Oryzias latipes: one gene and its partner. Each later gene encodes a partner of the first gene's protein in a complex. Links are inferred from orthologs where the notes say so. Each region holds a gene or a part of one and is shown on either strand. Other genes may lie near its edges.

Region 1 (4,150 bases):
TACCCACATATACTTAAAAATATATATATACCGGTATATTGTTCCAATTTTACTCCACAAGAGAACATTTTGGCTGCATAAATTATATAACACAAAGTAAAGTAAGAAAAAAAATGTACCATCCTGTTAAAGACCCACTTTAGAGAAATTTAAGCTTAGAATTGCATTTCTTCATTCAAATCGTTGTAAATTAGTAGCAGGCAAAAAAAAAAAAGAGCCTTTTTTGACGTAAAATATATGATGAGACAAGCTCCTTGTGTCCTCGAAAACAATCGTTTTATTTTATTTTATTTGGAGTTAAAAACACTCAATTATATTTAAAAGACCACTGGGAAGGCTTTTAAAATATCTCAAAAGATGATCAGAGTGAGTCTTTAACATCATCCAAAGATCAGTCTTCTTACCATAATCCCCCCCCAACGCGGAGAGTGAAATGCATTCGAAGGAACATCCATTTTCTTGTGGTCCTGAATGTAAAGTGGTGAATGCTGGGCGTCTGGCACATACAGAAGAAAATTCAGCACCGGGTTGGAGGAGGCAGCATTGGAACCTGGAGTTGAATGAGACTAACGTAAGAAAAAACGGCTCCCCTTTTTTCCATTGTATTCTATCGCCAGTATTTGCAAGTAACAACAGTTTTACCAAGTCTGGCCTCCACTGGGTTGATGACATGAGCAAGGCTGTCGGCGTGAAGTATGAAGGCGCCGCGGTCGTTGTTATAGCGCGGGTTGACACCCAGCATGGCGTAGTGTAGCATCTGTTAAAAGCAAATGAAGAACAAAGCTGCAGGGTGACTTTTCATGATGACTCTGAACTTTGAAACGTGTGCAGTGCTGCCTCTCGTACCTGAGAGTCTATGCTGAAGTTGGCCAAAGGAGAAAGTTTGGTAAGAAAAGGCTGGATGTAAGTCTGAACAGCACCTTCTATGTCCCAATGGAGCCTGTGTGACCTTGGGTCAGGGTTCAACAGACTGAAAGTTATCTCATAACCTAAAAAAGGTAAGGACAAGCACAGAATATAAGCGGAAAAAGGACTGCAAAGAAATGTTACCAAACCATAGATAAAAACCAACCTGGACTGAATGTAAAGGCTCTCATACTATGAGTCATACTTTCTTTGCTGCCAGGGTTGAAACGGACTCGATCACTGAGGGCAGCTGTGATGTCCGTGTGACTAAAAGACATCACCTGAAGCACCTGCTTGATTTGAGGCTTCAGGACATCCAGTAGCTGCTCTACCGTCTTTCCTGCTCTCATCTCAGCATTGATGCGTAGGATGGCCGTCCGGCGTTGACCAATATACACTTTGACATTCTAAAGAGGATTTTAAAAAGTTTTCTTTACAATCAAGAGACTAAAATGACTGAAAGCTATGAGTTTAAAAAAAAAAAATCACTATTACAATAGAAGTATGAACAGCTTTTACCTCTGGTAGCAGCGAGGAGACCTCAGGAATCACATACACCACTGAAGAACCACACGGACTTTCACTGAGCATGTGCAGAGATAGATCCGCCTCTGGAAAAGGACACAGATACAGACAGAAGTAACTATACATGAGGTTTCACTGACACAACACACTATTTGGTAGGTAGTTCACCTGCAGCGGTGGGCTTGCCCAGAGCCTCCTCTTCCATAATTGTAGCTGTTTGGTACTTTATTTCATGAGTATACCTCAAAACTGTGTTCTCTAGAAATGGGAGAAACCGTTATTCATGCTGGTATGGACTGCATGACCTCAAAATCCAGGATTCTAAAGTGCGTCACCATCCACTGCATGCTCCTCATCCTGCGTCTGGGTCAGGGGGAGCCTCTTCTGCTGCTCAGGTGTCAGGGTGCCCCGTGCAAACACAACTTCAACATCAGCACTTAAATGCAGCTGCAAGGAGAGATAAAGACTATTCCAACACACAAACGCAAAAGGAAGATACGTTAACCGGGGAGTTTGGTGATATCCCGGAACAGAGACAGACCTGCAGTTTAGAGAGGTCTTTTATCTGGCTGAAAGGTAACCAGGCGCGGTAGGTTTCAGTCGTTCGCCACCACAAGGGGACCCCAACGACGATGACCACGGCGGCGATAGACAGGGCAGCAAGCTGACCTCGTCTGCGCTCTGAGAGAAATGCCAGAAGTACATTGTTGTTGCTAATTGTTCAACATAAGACAAATGTCTTTGGTTACAAAAAACAACTTATATTTGATTTATATTTCACTAAACAGCTTGCTTAAAAAACTGCTATTGTTCGTCATTTTGCATCTAAATAGAAGGACAGTTAAGTTCAAATAAAATAAAAATTTATGAAACTTTCTTCCAAATTCTAAATAAATCAATCAAATATGTAACTGTTTTTAATGGTTAAATTAAACGGCCAAATAATCCTGATACCTATATCCGGGGAGATATTAAAGTCATTGTTGACATTTCAGATGATTTAAAATGTTAGAAGACAAAGATATAAGAATAAAACTGTTTGGTTGCACTTGTCTTGAGCAGGCAGTATGTAGCTAATTAGCTGTTAGCATCAGAGCGTCATAACAAGACAAAAATGACCAACAACTACATCATCTATTATTGTCTCAACATGAACATTTACAACATAGTACATTTAATTCCACAAACGTTCACATTAAAAACTCATAGAAAGAAACCGAGCAATGAATTCACTCACCCACTTCCGTGGTGGCCATTTCTGTCAATGAAAGTAGTGCGCTCGTTGACACGACAGACGTAGCCACGTGTGTCACGTGACAGCTGAAACAAAATGCGTATAAAGCAAAAGTCTAGATATTACTGATATGTAGCTACAGTTTCTTTAAGAGTAACACAATGTTCTAATACGCCATTGTTATAATGGTCTAATGAAAACCCTGGTAAAATTCAATTTCAGATAAAATGACTGTCACCGCCGGCTCCCCGGGTGTTATTTTTTAACGTACTTAAAAAAAACAGTTTCTCAACAGCGCCTCCTGTGGTGATAGGCTGACCTATCCAATTGATCCCAGAGATTTCTTCCTCTTTTGAACAAATATATTCTTGCGGGATTCTGTTTCTAGTAGAAGTATATTAAGTGTAATTTATGCTGCTATGAATGACACGGCAAGAACAAGTCATTTTAAATCTTACATAAATTTATTTAAATTTCACTTAAACTCTTTCTGACTGAAACTGAATTTTCGTCCATTATAATCTTATGGATGATTTTTCTAAATGACAAGGCAGCTAGTAATGTGACAAAATATTGTACCAACAGAATAACCCAGACAGGGGTTTATAAATGTACAAGAGCATATTAATTTAAATACTGAAGGTAATAAAAGTAAAAAAACATGAACTTTAAAAACATTTACTTGCTCCAAAAAAATAAAAATAAGGCAAAAGAGGCCACAGTCAAACCAGAGGGGATCGAACACAAAAATGGAGTCTCCATCAGGTTTAATGTGTATTTTAGTTTATTATCTCCACTACATGACACAGCGTGTTTCAAGAACAATATTAACATCACAAACAGTATTTCAACAAAGCAGTGAATGTTTCTGTGCTGCTGGTCCCACATGTTGGTCCTTTTATTCATTTATTTTTAACATACATTTCAATAGACTTCCTCTGATCTTCCTAAGGGGCCAGCAGGGAAAAGCAGGACAGGGGGCAGAGGTGACACATGCATCACACAATATTGACACCTTCACATAACAAAACACATCAATTACTGCGTGACTCTGAGAGCTAATGTTATACAGAAAAGACACAAATGATGGTTTTAGTTCATGTATTAAGGTCCAGAAGGAACACAAGAAAAGAGTGGGGTGAAAGCCGGTGTGGAGCGGGTTTTTACAGTACCGTGTGATCTCTGCTGGGACCGTCTATCAGAAGGATAACCCAGTTCAGATCTTTCACCGTTCTCGTCGCCATACTGTGCTTTAACTGATGCCTACGTATTAGTTGGTCCCACTGTCAATGTGGATGTTGGTATGAGCCTATACGGTTTCAAACGGGAAGCGCAACACTAACACTCATGCAGATTTTAGCCTGCTCGGGGGCTCGCAGGGAGAAGGCACCTGACATGGAGGCAGGCGCATTTTCAAAGCGGCAAGAAACCAATACTGACCGATGATCTTCATCACATTCTGGAGCCTCTGGCTTCCGCTTTTCA
Region 2 (3,184 bases), on another chromosome or scaffold:
CCCACCGTGGGGGACGTCGCCCTCTACATGGCCTTCCTCCCGCTCTGGAGTCACCTGCACCGCTGTGAGTGTGTGCTCCAGGTTCTGGCGTTCTCTGGCGGCGCCGAGGTTTCTCAAAGGTTTCTGTTCTCCAGTCCTGAGGAACATCTTCCTGGTGTCCTGCGTCCTGCTGGCCTGCTCGGCGCTGTTCCCGGTCCTCTGGCACCTCTGGATCTACGCCGGCAGCGCCAACTCCAACTTCTACTACGCCATAACGCTGCTGTTCAACGTGGCGCAGGTAAGGAGCGGCCTGAGGGGGGCGCTGTCAGGTTCAGCTGAGAAAGGGGCCAGCAGATTCTATATTCATGAGGACGTGAGAATATTTTAAAGGGCCTATATTATACTTTTCGCAAGCTTTTCATAGTAAACTATATTCATTCATCTATAATATGTTCCCGCTAAATAACAAACTTTTTATTAAATATTAATTTTTCCTACCCAGAAGTAAGACGACTGGATCTTTGGGGCTCCGCCTTTCTCTCTTTGTGGGTTCCGCCCATTTCATGACATCATCCTAGAGCCGGCCTCTGCAGCGTGTCTGCGATTTTCCCACGAAAACAAACACCGCCGTACAAAGACGGATGTGTGTATTGTGCCTAGAGAAGGAAAGCGTTTAGCCGATCACCGCTAGCTCCACAGAGAAAGTGTCCAAATTCCCGCCCTAACTACTAAAAAACGAGGAGGTGCCCTGAATTTTGAAAACAATTCAGACGCCACACTCACTCCTTTTTTTTTTTTTTAACGGCAGATGTGACGTCATTGATTTCACAAAGTTAAAATCTAATTAATGAGCGTTCTGGGAGGATTATTTATGATCCACTGTCTTCTGAAGATAAAAACGTTGATGGTTTATTAAAAAAATAAATTTTTTTTGCAAAAGTTGTTCCAATGCAATGCATTGTGGTCTATATTCACCGATCTAGTGGTTTTTCGCAGAGACTTCTGGGAAATTTCTAGGGCTCTGGATTTTGGAATTGTAGATTCAGACACTATAGAATGATAAACGCACTATAGATGCTCTATGTAGAGGTCAGGGTGGGAATTTGAACATGGCCTGGGCGTGTGTGTTAGCCTGGGGGCGGAGCCTGCAGCACAGACTCTTCCTGGAAGGGGCGGTTCCTCACTTTGTGACATCACAATGTGAGAACCAGCTCGTCGTGGATTGGGAGGGGCAGGTCCTCAGAAAGCAGTTTTATAGAGGAATTACAGCTTTGGGGATGTTTATGGTGAGGAATGAACATTAGAAGACACTTAAAAGCTCCAAAAGTGGATTTAGCATGAAAAGGTTTATAGATGGATGAAGTTTTCTCTTAGATCTGCAGATGCAGCAAACAGACTTCTGAGGAAACCAAAACACTTTCACACTTCGTTCTTCTTTCTTTCTTAGATCCTGCTGGTGTCGGATTATTTCTACGCCTTCCTGCGGAGGGAACACCACCTCACCTATGGGCTGTACCTGAAGAAGAAGGACGGCTCGGAAGCAACGCTGGTCCTGAAGTAAACCCCCCCCTGAGCGTCTGCAGGGACAGACGGTGGAGCTCCTCTTCACGCTCGAGGAGGAGACGGCGTCCGAAGCCGCACCGCTCCTCCGACGGACCGAAGCCGCCCGTGCAGAGGCGGCGGTGCAGCTTGATGCAGCTGAGCTGCTGCGGCTGCAGGACCTGAGACACGTGCTCCATGCAGACCTGCGGGTCCTTCTGTTCTGGAGTGCTCTTATTTTGAAGCTTCTTTCCAGTGGAACAAGCAAAGCTTTTATTTTACAGACTATTTAACCCGCTCTGTTGGACTTTATTTTGACTTTTTTTTTAAACACTCCTCTGCAATGAGCTTTTACTTTGAAAGCTTCCTCTTCCTTTGAAGTCAAACAAGTTGGAAAAATAAGTATTTCTGACTAAACCTGTATTGTAACCTATTTTATAAACTGGACGGAAAAATGTGAACGGAAGCTTCATTTACAGACTTCTATAAATCAAACCGTTAGAGTTTTCAACCTTTTCCTCGTTTTGTGTCGATGCTGCCGGGACTCGACTCGTTCATCTGATCAATACTGATTTATGGATCCTCACTGATCAGACGGCAACAGCAGGGCAGCTGGAGAGAATTTCAAATTTAACGTTTAAACTTTTTCATTTCTGCTTGATTGTAGATACAGACGGATTTCTGAGTTTGATCATTTTCCTGGTAAAACAGCAGAATAAAGAGATTTAATCCAAATTTAATCCAGATTATGTTTGAAATCTGTGGTCTTTAACACTGTGGACTACAGCACATGTATGGCAACAAAACAGAGTTATAAAGGCTTTATTTCTGTAAATGTAATCTTTTAAAAAGAAAACTGTGTCTGGAGTTTGACGTTTTTCCTAATGTGAGCAGAATAATATCTGAGTCTGGAGTCATTAGCGTGAAGAAGGTCGTTCTCCGTGTCTGGGTTGTTTTCACATTAACTTCAGGTCTTCCTTTGCTGATCCTCCGAGTCTCCGCAGGTCAGACAACCACAGCTAGAGTCTAGTAATTGAACTACAAACCCAGGAGTTTAGAAAGGCATGTCATTCTTTTATATACTCTGGTACTTTTGGTTTGAACTGATATTTACTTTTTTTATGTTTCATTTGTGAATAAAAGTGTCAAATGTTGGTCATTTAACTTTTCTTAATTTAGTTTGTATACATATTTAAAAAAAAACTGTTTCATCAAAAATATCTGAAGTGCAAGCTGTGGATTTTTAGACATTTGTCCATCTTATCACAAAAACGTCCTTCCTTCATGTCCACAGAATCCAACATGATCAGCTTTTGGAGCAGCAGGAATCTCCTTTGATGGATGTTGGAAGTCAGTTTAAAGATCGCAGACAGAGAAGGACCATCTGGATCTTCTGGTTCTGCTGTAAAGAACTCAACATCATCACAGACCTCTGGAGGCACACGGCCAGGACATTGTTTTCGGGCTCAATCAGACGTTTGTTGTTCACGCATGCGCAGATAAGCAGCTCCTTGCTGGATGCATTTCTATCGGTGGCCTGTAGATGGCAGCATCGTTCTGAACAGAATCCTTTCAGGTGGTTCGGAGAACCACTCTGCTTTGCTCCAGCAGGTAAATCACTTCCATCTCACTTGAGTTGTTTTTGTCTGCGTCTATAGCTACATTA

The links.
Region 2: the proteins of pigs (region 1) and pigu are in contact, whole or in part, in a cryo-EM structure (PDB 8IMX), measured with the Homo sapiens proteins. The link is inferred for Oryzias latipes from reciprocal best matches to the Homo sapiens genes PIGS and PIGU. Residues at the interface, in NP_149975.1 of Homo sapiens: Ala4, Gly5, Ala8, Thr9, Glu12, Arg15, Arg18, Ala19, Phe22, Phe23, Val26, Leu30, Leu34, Trp35, Thr38, Thr39, Leu510, Leu511, Phe513, Ile521, Tyr522, Leu525, Phe526; in NP_536724.1 of Homo sapiens: Gln118, Phe282, Glu283, His284, Phe285, Leu287, Phe288, Phe289, Cys291, Val292, Phe293, Ile295, Phe299, Tyr300, Ile302, Pro303, Ile306, Lys307, Lys309, Glu310, Thr417, His418.

The regions. Positions count from the first base shown.
Region 1 is NC_019872.2:12,613,462-12,617,611, forward strand, and holds the start of pigs (GPI transamidase component PIG-S), read right to left. Parts: upstream 2,801-4,150; 5' UTR 2,688-2,800; coding exon 2,669-2,687; intron 2,113-2,668; coding exon 1,973-2,112; intron 1,879-1,972; coding exon 1,767-1,878; intron 1,690-1,766; coding exon 1,600-1,689; intron 1,518-1,599; coding exon 1,426-1,517; intron 1,314-1,425; coding exon 1,073-1,313; intron 990-1,072; coding exon 847-989; intron 758-846; coding exon 643-757; intron 551-642; coding exon 405-550; intron 1-404. UniProt on the Homo sapiens protein: Component of the glycosylphosphatidylinositol-anchor (GPI-anchor) transamidase (GPI-T) complex that catalyzes the formation of the linkage between a proprotein and a GPI-anchor and participates in GPI anchored protein biosynthesis.
Region 2 is NC_019863.2:32,751,680-32,754,863, reverse strand, and holds the end of pigu (phosphatidylinositol glycan anchor biosynthesis class U protein), read left to right. Parts: coding exon 1-64; intron 65-134; coding exon 135-277; intron 278-1,426; coding exon 1,427-1,540; 3' UTR 1,541-2,673; downstream 2,674-3,184. UniProt on the Homo sapiens protein: Component of the glycosylphosphatidylinositol-anchor (GPI-anchor) transamidase (GPI-T) complex that catalyzes the formation of the linkage between a proprotein and a GPI-anchor and participates in GPI anchored protein biosynthesis.